3 linked regions of the Callithrix jacchus genome follow. Each later gene encodes a partner of the first gene's protein in a complex. Links are inferred from orthologs where the notes say so. Each region holds a gene or a part of one and is shown on either strand. Other genes may lie near its edges.

Evidence for each region.
Region 2: the proteins of CREBBP (region 1) and PPARA are in contact, whole or in part, in a crystal structure (PDB 9IWL), measured with the Homo sapiens proteins. The link is inferred for Callithrix jacchus from reciprocal best matches to the Homo sapiens genes CREBBP and PPARA. Residues at the interface, in NP_004371.2 of Homo sapiens: Asp62, Ala63, Ala64, Lys66, His67, Lys68, Gln69, Leu70, Ser71, Leu73, Leu74, Arg75; in NP_001001928.1 of Homo sapiens: Val284, Thr285, Thr288, Glu289, Lys292, Phe297, Leu302, Asn303, Gln305, Val306, Thr307, Leu309, Lys310, His457, Pro458, Leu459, Glu462, Ile463.
Region 3: the proteins of CREBBP (region 1) and IRF3 are in contact, whole or in part, in a crystal structure (PDB 5JEM), measured with the Homo sapiens proteins. The link is inferred for Callithrix jacchus from reciprocal best matches to the Homo sapiens genes CREBBP and IRF3. Residues at the interface, in NP_004371.2 of Homo sapiens: Leu2070, Thr2073, Leu2074, Lys2075, Ser2076, Ser2079, Gln2081, Gln2082, Gln2084, Gln2085, Val2086, Asn2088, Ile2089, Leu2090, Asn2093, Gln2095, Leu2096, Ala2099, Phe2100, Gln2103; in NP_001562.1 of Homo sapiens: Pro198, Gly199, Glu200, Glu201, Trp202, Glu203, Ser221, Leu322, Ile326, Leu329, Ile330, Thr333, Thr370, Cys371, Leu372, Ala374, Leu375, Glu377, Met378, Ala379, Val381, Gly382, Gly383, Ala384.

What each region holds. Positions count from the first base shown.
Region 1 is NC_133513.1:5,846,567-5,850,553, forward strand, and holds part of CREBBP (CREB-binding protein), read right to left. Parts: intron 2,014-3,987; coding exon 1,848-2,013; intron 1,491-1,847; coding exon 1,323-1,490; intron 1-1,322. UniProt on the Homo sapiens protein: Acetylates histones, giving a specific tag for transcriptional activation. Mediates acetylation of histone H3 at 'Lys-18' and 'Lys-27' (H3K18ac and H3K27ac, respectively).
Region 2 is NC_133502.1:213,850,748-213,855,171, forward strand, and holds the start of PPARA (peroxisome proliferator-activated receptor alpha), read right to left. Parts: upstream 3,088-4,424; 5' UTR 2,961-3,087; intron 1,725-2,960; 5' UTR 1,645-1,724; intron 1-1,644. UniProt on the Homo sapiens protein: Ligand-activated transcription factor. Key regulator of lipid metabolism. Activated by the endogenous ligand 1-palmitoyl-2-oleoyl-sn-glycerol-3-phosphocholine (16:0/18:1-GPC). Activated by oleylethanolamide, a naturally occurring lipid that regulates satiety.
Region 3 is NC_133523.1:43,428,386-43,433,018, forward strand, and holds the start of IRF3 (interferon regulatory factor 3), read right to left. Parts: upstream 3,088-4,633; 5' UTR 2,801-3,087; coding exon of another isoform or gene 2,794-2,800; 5' UTR 2,622-2,793; coding exon 2,528-2,621; intron 2,092-2,527; coding exon 1,919-2,091; intron 1,770-1,918; exon of another isoform or gene 1,688-1,769; intron 1,034-1,687; coding exon 862-1,033; intron 778-861; coding exon 707-777; intron 113-706; coding exon 1-112. Other genes in the region: BCL2L12 (bcl-2-like protein 12), read left to right, coding at 3,905-4,011, 4,228-4,370.

The DNA.
Region 1 (3,987 bases):
TGCAGCAGCTCTCATCAGGCCACCTCCTGCCGTGGCATGTGGGACACAGAGCCTGGGTTCGCAAAACCAGCTGGTCGCTGTCATGCTGATTACAAATACCTCCCCCTTCAAAGCCTATCTTGGATGTGGTATCCTCCAGAGTCACCCTTAGGAGGTGGAACTTGAGCATTAACTCACCAGAAACCAGTAAAGCTAGCTACGCTCCAGCAGGAGCAAGTCAGAAAACAACAGGCCTGGAGCTCTGCTTAGGAGCCATCTAGAGCATAAACCTGCACAGGACCCTGCCCGTGCTTCCTCTGTCCAGCAAATGACACTCTGGGGTGCTTTTTAGCAGGTGGCCATCTCTCAACCACTGGTGCAGTGAGCACGAGAGTGCACGGTGGAAGGAGCCTAGGCTCCACTGAGCCCACAGACCCGGCACCCACCTCACAGCCCTGCTCTCACATGCGACAGGCACTGCAGCAGCAACAGGTCCCCAGTTGGTGCCTGGCTGCTTCACCCCTGGCAGCTGCTCAGGCCCATGCAGGAGCCGCCTCTGTTCATGGCTTTTCCTCACCAGTCACAATGGCCTGTCCCAAGTTCTGGGGCTGCAGTCTTCAACATTTGTCACTGCTCTCCCTGCACCTACAGCTATAGCCCACACCCACGCCACCACCATCTCTTCCCCAGACAGCCATACAACCCTGCACACAGCACGCCTCCTCCCACTGCCTGGCGGGTCCTCTCCCCACACCATCCTGTGGTGGGCAGGTCTGGCCCACTCTTTACCTCCTCAAGGTTCCTTCCCCTTCACAGCTCCACCACAATCGGAGCACACCACACTGGGGTCTGGGCTCTTTTTGTTTCTCTTACCAGGACACAGCTAACCCCTTGGGGGCAGACATGGGGTTTTGTTTGGCTCACTCTGCACTGCCTGGCACTCAGGGGCAATACTGAGGAGAGAGAGCAGGAGGGCATGAGCACCACATGCAGAGCAGCCACCAAACATGGGTACAAGGCCTTGGCAACCTGGTGCCTCTTTCTCGAGTCACTTTTTACATCAGTGGGTTGTGTCCTGACTGCCATGTGACCTCTTTTCTGCCTTCCTCTCTCTGCTCTCCAAGTCCAAATGGACCCCCAGCCCCAGAGAGCATCCACTGAGCAGAGGGTGCAGCGCCCACACTGCTGCCCACCAACGCCACATGCTGCAGATAGTGTCAGTGCACGTGTGTGAACAGAGACACCACTGAAAGGACCTAACAGCCAACACGTGCTTCCCAGCCTGCCACCCTGGCAGCTCCGGCGGGCTGTGTGGGCAGGCGGGCTTGGAGGAGGACCTGTACCTCGGTGGTTTCACTGGCTGCGGTGCTCTCTTCCTTTTTCCTCTCCTCTTCTTCTTGTTCTAGTTCCTTAATGCTCTCTTCTAACACATTGGGCCAGAAATCACCTTCAAAATAGGGCAGTTCCTTGGCACTGGTGAGTCTGTCTTCAGTTGCTTGTTTGAAAATGTCCTGCGTGGGCAAAGCACAATGAGATGAGGGCCATGCATGTGGGCCCCAGCATGGAGCAGCAGACCCCCCTGCATGCACGCCCCTCACCACAGTGCTGGCCCCCCCCATGTGTGCAACAGTTATGCACAGGCCCCGAGGCCCAGCGATGAAAACAGCACAACTGTGCGGCCCTCGGACAGCCAGGGCAAAGCCCATCAGCCGAAGAAAATGCTTCTAAGTTCTCACTTTATGCTTTTTCTGCTTTCTAATCCTCGTAAGTAAACATTATTATCAAGTATGTCAATGCAAGAAAGAGACACGTAAGTAACCTTCACTCAGCTGTGACAAAAGCCACCACCTTCCTTCAGCACCAGGTACCTTGTAGTCATGAATGATCCGCTCTGCAAACGCCTTGTCCAGCATCTTTTTGTACCATTCCTGCAGTCGTTTTGGCTTGGGGATTTTTTGATCAGGTGGGTGGCAGTGGAAGATATAATCATCTCCTTCACTTGGAGGACAGGCCCAGATGTGCCCTGTCACATACCTGCAGGACACACACACATCACATGGAAGCGCCAGTGAAATTGGCCCTGCCTTTAAGAAGTCATAGCAGAAGAGCAAGGACTCAAGCCAGGACAAAAGTAACCAGAAAGAGGAGAGAACGAACACCCACAATGCTGGAACTTCCTCCAGCATTGGCGGCAAGGCTGGAACTTCCTCCTGAGCAAATGCAAGCCTAGAATCCTGCCCTGAAATACTTCTCTCTTGGGGTGCACACACAGGGCAGGGCCAAGCCTGCAAAGGAAACCTGAGGCCTCATTAAAGAGCCAGGGAATAGCCGGGTGCGGTGGCTCACGCCTGTAATCCCAGCACTTTGGGAGGTCAAGAGATCGAGACCATCCTGGTCAACATGGTGAAACCCCCTGTCTCTATTAAAAATACAAAAAATTAGCTGGGCACGGTGGCGCGTGCCTGTAATCCCAGCTACTCAGGAGGCTGAGGCAGGAGAACTGCCTGAACCCAGGAGGCGGAGGTTGGGGTGAGCGGAGATGGCGTCATTGCACTCCAGCCTGGGTAACAAGAGCGAAACTCTGTCTCAAAAAAAAAAGAAGAACCAGGGAATATGATGGCTCATCAAGGCAACGCCATCCCCTTCCTCCTGAGCTAGCAGTTCAGCTGACTATTTCTCTCTCTGAGAGTCAATGTCAACATAGTATCATTCATTCTGTTCAAGACACTTTGATCAAATGCCCCTAACCTTTTCAAGATTCAGAAAGGAATGGGGCAGGTCTACAGTACAGAAACCAAGCGCTAGAGAAGAAAACCAGACCCAAGACAGCAGGCACTGCAGGGTTCTGTTTACACAAAGGATCCAGAAAAGACAAATTCAGAGAGACAACAAGTAGATTAGTGGTCACCCATGGCAGAGATGGGACAGGAATTAACAGCAAGGGGCAGGAGGAATTTTTTTTTTTATTTTTGAGATAGAGTTTATCTTTTTGCTCAGGATGGAGTGCAATGGCACGACTGGCTCACTGCAACCTCTGCCTCACTGGTTCAAGTGACTCTCCCTGCCTCAGCATCCCAAGAAGCTGGGATTACAGGCGTGCACCATCATGCACAGATAACTTTTTTTGTGTGTGAGACAGGGTCTTGTTCTTGTTGCCCAGGCTGGAGTGCAATGGCACAATCTCGGCTCACTGCAACCTCCACCTCCCAGCTTCAAGCTATTCTCCTGCCCCAGCTTTCCCAGTAGCAAGGATTACCCTAGGCACCCTCCCCCATGCTCTGGCTAATTTTTTGTATTTTTAGTAGAGACAGGGTTTCACCATGTTGGTCAGGCTGGTTTCCTCCTCTGACCTCTGGTGATCCACCTGCCTTGGCCTCCCAAAGTGCAGGGATTACAGGCATAAGCCACCACACCTGGCCAAATTAAAAAAAAAATTTTATTTTATTTTTTGAGACACTGTCTTGCTCTGTCACCCAGGATGGAGTGCAGTGGCGCAATCTCGGCTCAGTGCAATCTCTGCCTCCCAGGTTCAAGTGCTTCTCCTGCCTCAGCCTCCTGAGTAGCTGGGATAATAGGCATGCCTGACTAATTTTTGTATTTTTAGTAGAGGCAGGGTTTCACCATGTCTGTCGGTCAGGCTGGTCTCGAACTCTTGACCTGTGATCTGCCCACCTTAGTCTCCCAAAGTGCTGGGATTACAGGCATGAGCCACCGCACCTGGCCTTTCTTTGTATTTTTAGTAGAGACGGGGTTTCACCATGTTGGCCAGGCTGGTCTTGAACTCCTGACCTCAGGTGATCCACCTGCCTCAGCCTCCTGAAGTGCTGGGATACAGGCATAAGCCACCGCACCTGGCTGGCAGGAGGAATCTTAAGGCCAGTAACAATGTTCTGAAACTGACTTCTGATAGTTGCACTTATCAGTAAAGTTACTAAAAACTACTGAATCATACACCTAAACAGGAGAATTCTACGGTATGTACATTTTGCCTCAATAAAGTAAACAAAC
Region 2 (4,424 bases), on another chromosome or scaffold:
CCCAGTCTTGGCTCATTGCAACCTCCGCCTCCCAGGTTCAAGTGATTCCCCTGGCTCAGCCTCCTGAGTAACTGCAACTACAGGTGCACGCCACCACGCTCAGCTAATTTTCATATTTTTAGTAGAGACAGGGTTTCACCGTATTGGCCAGGATTGTCTCAATCTCTTGACCTCATGATCTGGCCTCCCCAGCCTCCCAAAGTGCTGGAATTACAGGTGTGAGCCACTGCGCCCAGCCTATCTCAGCACTTTGGGAGGCTGAGGTGGGTGATTCACCTGAAGTCAAGAGTTAGAGACCAGCCTAGCCGATATGGCAAAACCCCGCGTCTAAAAATACAAAAATTAGTTGGGTGTGGTGGTGGATGCCTGTAATCCCAGCTACTCAAGAGGCTGAGGCAGCAGAAGGGCAGAGGTTGCGGTGAGCCAAGATCACGCCACTGCACTCCAACCTGGCTGACAAGAGTGAAACTCCATCTCAAAAAAAAAAAAAAAAGAAAGAAAGAGGTAAAAGAAAACATTTTTTCTACTGTCAATTAATTAATTAATTTATTTTATTTTATTTTTGTGAGACGGAGTCTTGCCCTGTCATGCAGGCTGGAGTGCAGTGTCAGAATCTCGGCTTCACCTCCCAGGCTCAAGCAGGGATTACAGGTGTCTGGCACCACATCTGGCTAATTTTTATATTTTTTTTGTAGAGATGGGGTTTCACCATGTTGGCCAGGCTGGTCTCAAACTCCCGGCCTCAAGTGGTCTTCCCACCTCAGCCTCCCAAAGTGCTGGGATTACAGGAGTGAGAGACCGTGCCTTGCTTGCCAGTGAATTTACCTTTGCTTCAGAGTTGCACAGGTCACCTTCAGCCCCTCTGTCCCTGGCCTCTCACGGATGGTGACCACACACATCCTATCGTCTGGCCTGTATCTTCAGCCCATCCCTGGCATGTTCTGTCATGGGCCTTGCCCAACAAGCCACCTGCTTAATAATCAAATCACAATGAAAACAGCTCTGTTCCAGTTGGTGTGGATGTCCCAAGTGTCTGCTAAGCACTCACATTTCTCAAAGTTAATGTTATCAAGTTTTAAATTGATAACATGAATTTAAAACATGGCTGCCATGAAGCAATGAAGTTCCTGGCAAAACTGACACCGTACCTCAGAACTTAAAAGTGAATCTTAGGCCGGGCGGGGTGGCTCATGCCTGTAATCCCAGCACTTTGGAAGGCCCAGGCAGGTACATCACCAGGTTAGGAATTCAAGATCAGCCTGGCCAACATGGTGAAACCACATCTCTACTAAAACTACAAAAATTAGCCAGGTAGGTTGGCAGGCACCTGTAATCCCAGCTACTCAGGAGGCTGAGGCAGGAGAATCACTTGAATCCGGGTGGCAGAGGTTACAGTGAGCCAAGATTGTGCCACTGCAGTCCAGCCTGGGCGACAGAGGGAGACTCCATCTCGGGAAAAAAAAAAAAAAAAAAAAAGGGAATCCATGCCCATGTATGCTACTTTCAGTCTGAAAACGTATCTAAGGTTGCATCCCGAAGTAATAATAATTAACCTCCACATTGCTGGTCTGCGGCACAACAGAAATAAACACAGCACACTTAAATACTTCCATCTGGAAACAGTAAATCAAGCTTTCTATTTACCTGTGGTGACAACTTCAGTTCTGAGCTTGTCTTGCCGCAAACTGTGTGTCCACAGAGCAGGCTGGGCCCGGAGCTTCAGCCTGGAGGAAGAAGATGGAGGAGGAAGTGATTACGCTATGTTCTCTGGATGCCCCCAACTCTCCACCACCTTGGAAAAGGAAAGTCACCCTGCCCCTGCCCCACAACCACACAGGTGTCTCACGGTCCTTCTCAGGAAAACCCGTGCCCTTGCCCTGACCCGGTTCTCCAGGGCACCCTTATCCCAAGCGGGCTGGGAGAGGAGAGGCCTCCCTGGTTTCCTGGGCGGGGGGGGGGGGGGGGGGAGTCGGTGGGGCAGCTGGGGCTGAGGTGGGCACGCAGTCCCGGAGGGTCGCATGAAGCCCGCCGGTTAGACAACTGTGGGTTTTTCTTGGAAAGAATCCTGGCACTGGGAGCACACTTCCTCTCGTTTAACTTTTAAAGCAGGCTTCAGAAACGCGCAGGCACGCAGGTGTGCCCTGGTAGTTGGGGTGGGAGACGGGGCAGAGCGGACCTTCCTGACTCCCACCGGCACCACCCAGCGCCCCTCCGGCTTCACTCGCACCACGCGGGCCGCGCAGCCCAGGACTCCGGAAAGACCTGGGAATGCCCGCGCCAGACCCGCAGCGGCCCCCACCGGGAGCGACATGGCGCGGCTTCCGCAGAGAAGCCACCCGGCCGAGAGCAGCCCGTTCGGGCTGCCGGGGGTCACCCCGCCGCGTTGGGGCACCAAGCGGGAAGCGTTCCTCTAAGGCGGTCACAGCCGGAGGAGCTAACACGCGCGTCTTGGTCCGGCGGCAGCCGCCGGGCGCACCCACCCAGGGTCGGTCAGTCCGGGCCCGGGTTTCCCTGCCTCAGGGATCCCTGGGGGTCTTGGGAAGCCACGGCGCGGAGGGATGGGCAAGCCCCGATGTCCCGCCCGAGAGCCTCCCTCCCAAGGGACAAGCCGAAGACTTAGAGTCGCTGCGGTCGCCAGACCCGACCTCCGCGCAGCGCCAAGCCCCATGGAGAGCCGTGGAGTCTACGGTTCCAGGCAGGGCCCCGGCGGTAGGAGGGAGGACGAGCAGGGCCCCGGGACCCCTTGCACGAGTCCTCGGCGTGTGTCCTCGCCCCTCGCCCTCACGTCTCCGGCCGCGCACCCTGACCCTGGATCCCCGGGCCCCCGAGACCTCGAGACCCCGGGCCCCGCGCATGCGCCGCCCAGCCCCTGCCCCTCCCCCGTCCGCCGCCGTCTGGGTCCCGGGACTGGGGAAGCCCTGCCGGCGGACCCCCGCGCGCGCCCTTCCGCCCGCGGGCACCTGGATCGCGGTCCGCCGCCTGCCAGTCCGTGGGACGAGCGCCGAAGGAGGCGGCGCCGGGCAGGGCGCTAGCGGCCGCCTCCGCCCCCGCCGCCCGCTGCCCCTGCCGCGGGGCCGCCGCGTCCACGGCCCATGCCCGGCGCCGCCTCCGCGCGTCCGTGCCAGCCGCGCCCCCGCCACACGCACCGCCCCTCGGCCCGCCCCGGTCCGCGCGGGCTCCTGTCCCCGGGCCCGACCCGGAAGCCCCGCCCGCCCCGCGCGCCCTCGGGGCGCCCGGGCTCCGGCCCCGGGACACACCCCCCGGACGGCGGCGCCCGATTGGCTGCTCGAGGGGGCGGGGCCCCGGGAACTCTCCGCTGCTCCCACCTAGTGCCTCGCGTCCGCTGCAACCAGGGGAAACTGAGGCCGAATAGGTGGAGGAGCCCTCCAAGGTCACCGCCGGGACGCCGCTGAGCGTGGGCGCCCCTGCAGCCCCGCGCACCCGATGGGGCTGAATTCGAGGAGGGGACGCGCGGCCGCAGGGAGGGTGGAGGTTCCCGCTGAGCGCCCGTGCCACGCTGGCGAGTCCCTCCTGCCTCCTCCGGGAGCTGGGCTCCGCCGTTCGGTGCAATGAGCGGGTCTAGATCCGGGACCGGGTGCCCTTGAGCCTCCAAAGTGCGTGGGGTGGTAGGCAGGCCGGGAAGGACCTTGTCCCTGGAACCCTAGGATGCAAAATAAGGGGAAGGGGAAGGCGAGCTGGGAGGACGAGGAAACAGGTGGCAGGAGGTGCCAGGGTGGTGTGGCGGGCGGGGGAACGAGGAGGGTGAAGGGCAACGCGGACGGGCTCGGGGAGGAGCCGCTAGCTCCGATCCCACATTCCCACCCATCTCCAGTGGCCCGAGAGCCATGCGCGCCCCCTACTCCGTGCCCGGGGGGGTGATGAGGGGCTGACTTTGTGCCCACGCAAGGCGCTGGGACTCTGCCAGCGCAGGGAGAGGTCGCGGCCCGGCGGCCAATGGCGAGGAGTAGGAGAGCGCCCTGCAAAGCCGCTTTGTTCGCGCTGTGACGCCCGAGCTCTCTGCGCGGAATGCACAAAGCCCCTGGGTGCCGGCACATCAGGGCGCCCCTCCTCGGGAACGAAATGTGTGCTATGCCAGCCCCACTGCCAGCTGCGCCTGCCACTGTGCTATTTGTGGTCCCAGGAGGACCCACTCCGGAAAGGAAACGCAAATCTCATTAGGCTGGGGAACTGCAGACCAGGCAGGAACTGGCCCTTGCACAGACTTCCCTTAAACTCACCCTTGTTGATTAGCCAGGCAACTATGGTGAACTTTGCCCCACCCTCCAGACCCTCCCACGTATCCTTCCCGCTGGCACATGGCAGGCTCAGCTTTTCTTGCACATGCTAGCCACCAATAGCACAGATTCATGTTGTGTTTCAGAGTTTACAGTGTGATCCATACAGTTAATATCCTGGATATCTCG
Region 3 (4,633 bases), on another chromosome or scaffold:
GGCTCAGCAGGGGCTGAGGGTAGGGCTCAGGGGCTACAGCCAGGCCTGGTGGTCCCGAATCTGGGAGTGGGGCCAAGACCATGTTACCCAGTAACTCATCCAGAATGTCTTCCTAGAGGGAAACAAAAAGAGAATTAGGCATTTCCACAGCCTTTTCTGGAGACTAAATGTGGACCAGGTCTGTTCTCAGCAGTGCAGGGAGGTCAGGCTTGAGCTCTGCTTTCAGAGGGCTTCCAGTCTGGGGACAGTGGCAGCCACGGGCATCAATAGCCAAATAGACACTCTAATGAATGCCACATGCTACCATTCCAACCCCAGGATCTGGCTTTCTGCAGGCAAGGCCTGGGCAGAATTTCAGAGGGGATGCTCCCCTGGCTCTGACAGCGGCAGGATCAAGGGGAGGGAGGGAGGTTTTCAGTTCCCAAGAGGCTGACAGACAGCCGTCCCCCCACTCCCCCCCTCCCCCCGCCAATCAAGGATCTACAGGAAATCCCGGGAAGGCGTGTCAAATGCAAATTGAGTGCCTTCAATGCCAAGTGAAGACTGAATTTTCTCCTGAGGAGACTGGAGCATGGGACAGACAGGGCCAGCACTGGCTCAGGTGAGGGGCAGACGAGGTGAGGGAGGCGCACTGGTCCACAGGGAGAGGATGAGTCCATGGGAACAGGACAGACAGTGGGGGCGTGAAGGTTGGGCACATTCTTACCTGGGTATCAAAAGTACTGCCTCCGCCACTGGTGTCTGGAGATGTGTCTGGCTGGGCAAAGTTCCCAACTGCTGTTGAGAAAGGTGTTGAAGTGGCTAGGGGTGCCAGGAACCCTTGGGACCCCAGCCTCCCACACTGACCCCGATCTGGCAGACCTGAGTTCACAAACTCGTAGATCTTATGTGGGTCGTGAGGGTCCTTGCTTCGGTCATCTGCTAAACGCAATCCATCTTTGCGGTTGAGGGCAGAACGGAAATTCCTCTTCCAGGTTGGCGGGTCTGGCTTATCTCTCCCGGGAACGTATGCACCAGTGGCCTCAGCCCAGGCCTGGGGCAACAGTGGTGTGAGGATAGTGAGAGAGGACGACCTAGATCCTGTCCCGGAGCCCCAACCCTGTCTCCGGCATCCTAACACCACCCTCTTTCCCTGGCAAGTTGTAACTCTGCAAGGTCCATCCCCAAATCCCCCCATCCCACCTACCTCCATCCCCACCTCTAGTTTTCTAGAATGATCTGCCTGCCTCAGCCTCCCAACGTGCTGGGATTACAGGCGTGAGTTACCGCGCCCCGCCTCTTCAAAAGCCTTTGAAACCTCTTTTGTTTTTAACGAGACGGGGCCTGTGTTGCCCAGGCTGGTCTCAAACTCCGGGGCTCAAGCGATCCTCTAGCCTCGGCCTTGCCAAAGTACTGGGATTCTATGTGAACCACCGCGCCCCCCAAAAACCTTTTCTTTCTAAGCCAGGCTTTCAAGTCCTACTAACCCCGTGCACCACCTGCCTCAGGACACCCTCGGTGATAACCTCGTCCCTCACACTGTTTACCACGTCTGGCTTATACTAATTCGGTGGTTAGGAACCCCAGATTTGGGGCTCCAAGTCTCACCTCTGATGTTTCAAGAACAATCCCCCAGGATCCTACTACTAGGAACCCCGGCCCCTAGAGAGCTCCAAACCCATAGGATGCATTTTCATTGCGTACTAACCCGGCTCTCCCAGTTCTAGTTCTATTCCCGGAACCGGCAACTCCGACCCTCCCGGCGCCCCCATCAGTCAGCTGATCCGGCTAGCCCCGCCCCTCCCGTTCTGGCCCCACCCACCAGCGTTGACACGAGCCCGCCCCTCGCGCGCTACCGCCGCCTTCTCAACCCTGCCTCTCGGAGTCTTTCCCGCCCAGCGCGCAGCTCCTGGTTTCCAGCGTCCCTGGTCGCACGCACCTGGAAGATTCCGAAATCCTCCTGCTGTGCATCATGCCGTAGACCGTGTTTCCAAGGGATGCGGAAGCGCGTGCGGCTCTCATTCACCCAGGCCACACCCTCCAGCTGCCCCAGATTCAGCTGCAACTCCAGCCAGGGCAGGATCCGTGGCTTTGGGGTTCCCATGGTCCGGCCTGCGCGTACAGGGCATTTCCTGGGCGCGGCCGGCCTCTCCTGGACCCACCTGGCCTGGAGTTTCCGCGCCCAGAACTCCCTGTCATGGGCTACGGCACAGGTCCTTCACCCATGTTTTCGGGGGTACAAACAGGAAACCTCCTCTTCCCATCCTCCCATCCGCCAGAGAGGCTCCCTAATCAGCTAGGGTTCCTTCCCCTATCCATGGCACACCCTTCCCCAGCGACTTCAGTACAGACCCTCCACTCCCTCAATTCTGCCAGTGTAGACCCCCTCTTTCCCCATATCGAAAGCAAGTAACCCCACTTTCAGGGTAACATCTCTTTCCCTAGCTATGTCAGTGCAGAATCGATTCACTTGTAAGCCTCTACCGCCTGCACTTAGCCCAGTGTAGACCCCCTTCCACAGTCCCCCTAGAGAAGATCCCCTACCTACTTCCAACGCAGAACCTCCATCCACAATGCTCCCTCGACTGCCAGCCTCCCTCCTCCAGAGCACGCCTCAGCTTTCGAGAGCGAACTGCCCGCATCTGCGGAGTCCACCCCTCCCTCTCTAGATCTCCCTCAGTGTAGACGCCTCCTCTTTCTCTTCCCTCCCTACTTTTTCTAGTTTTTCTGCAACAGACCTCCAGCGCCGGCCACTCCCTCCTTTCTCCACTTTCCCCAGATTATACAGCCTGCCTTTCCACTTTCCGTACAGACCCATCATCTTTCCCGCTCCTCGTTCTCGAACGCCACCAACGCTCTCCCGGGCTCTTCCGCGTTACCTACGATGGAAGGTCGGGGCGTGCGGGGAGCTGGAGCCCACCCGTCTTGGGGCTCCGGGTAGCTCTCAAACTCGAGGCTGAACACCCGCTTTCCCGTCAGCTGAGTTCTAGAGCGCTGGGACTTTCTTTTCCAACGACTTCTTGAAATAAAAACAACTTTATCATTCTTTGAGTGACAGAACCCAGAGCCGAAGGGACAGGCCGTAGGGCCCGGGCTGTCCCCGCCCCCATGCCCTTTTTCGGCTTTCCGGCCAGAGGCATGCTGGGAGCGTCAAATGCAAATTGAGCGTGCAGCCAGCGTTCCGCCTTTTCTACGTTGGGCCGGTTACCCACCCGGCCCAGTGCGCAGGGGCGGGAAAGTTGACCTAGAAAGTTTTGTACGAGTTGAGTGAAGAAGGCGGCAAGTTGAGTGGAGGTGGCGGCGGTGGGGCCCCGGACCAGGTCAGCGGAGTGTTGCCGAGGGTCGGGGTGTGGAGGGAAGAGGAGGCGGCCGGGATGCAGGAGTGAGAACCCAGTCCCGCTTCTCCGACATCCAAGTGTATATTCCAGGAGCAGGAGATTTGGAAATACACCTCCCAGCAGGCTGTGCGGCGAAGAAGCGGGGACCGAGGAGAAGATTTGCCGTAAAGCCTGCTGGGATTGGTAGTTCCCGATGCTTTAAGAGTTTGAGTAGTTCGGCATATACCTCTTTCAGAATCCAGGAGTTGGGGCGCTAAGCCCCTTCTCCCTGGGAGACATAAGGGTCAGGGGCTCCAGTTCCTTTCTCTCTAAGACTCAGGAATCTAGGACCCTAGCTCCCTCCTCCTTTAGGTCCACGAATCTGGGCACCCACCCCCTAGCTTTCCTTGGATTAATGAGTCTGTCCTGTTCCCTCTTCTGTCTGAGGACTCAAGAGTCTAAGCGCCCAGACCCACACTCTCCAAAGGACCCAGGAGTCCGGGCCCTCATCACCTTCCTTGGGACTCACAACTCCCGGTCCTCAAGCCTCCACTTCTCGATAAATCCTTGGAGTTCAGTCCCTAGCCCCCTCTCTCATAGGTGCCTCCATGGCAGGCTCAGAAGAGCTGGGTCTCCGGGAAGACACGCTGAGGGTCCTAGCTGCCTTCCTCAGGCGTGGTGAGACTGCCGGGTCTCCTGTTGCAACTTCACCCAGGTAACAGGAGTTGTGCTTCTCCCCGAGGGGCCAGGATTTGAGGCCCCCTCCTAACTCTTGCTCCTGGTCTCAGTCTCTCTCCTCTCTTTATATCTGACTCTATTCTCTGTCTTTGGGGTTTTGGAGAGAGGTCCTCAGTGGGGGAGGGAGTGAGTTGAGAAAAGTGACTTACAGAGGATCTCTGGTGGGGTCACTCTCTGAAGTCCTCCTCCCCAGAAGCCCTGCCCCAGAAGAGCCAACAGACTTCCTGAGCCGCCTTCGAAGATGTCTTCCCTGCTCCCTGGGGCGAGGAGCAGCCCCCCCTGAGTCCCCTCGGCCTTGCTCTCTGCCCATCCGCCCCTGCTACGGTTCAGAGCCTGGTAAGAGATTTCCATGATCATCTGTGAAAGTGGCAGAACATGGGATAAGGTAGTAGTTTAAGATTATTTAACTATGACCAGGCACGGTGGCTCATGCCTGTAATCCCAGCACTTCGGGAGGCCAAAGTGGGCGGATCACAGGCGGTCAGGAGTTCAAGACCAGCCTGGCCAACATGATGAAACCCCATCTCTACTAAAAGTACAAAAATTAGCCTGGCGATAGTGGCAGGTGCCTGAAATCCCAGCTACTCAGGAGTCTGAGG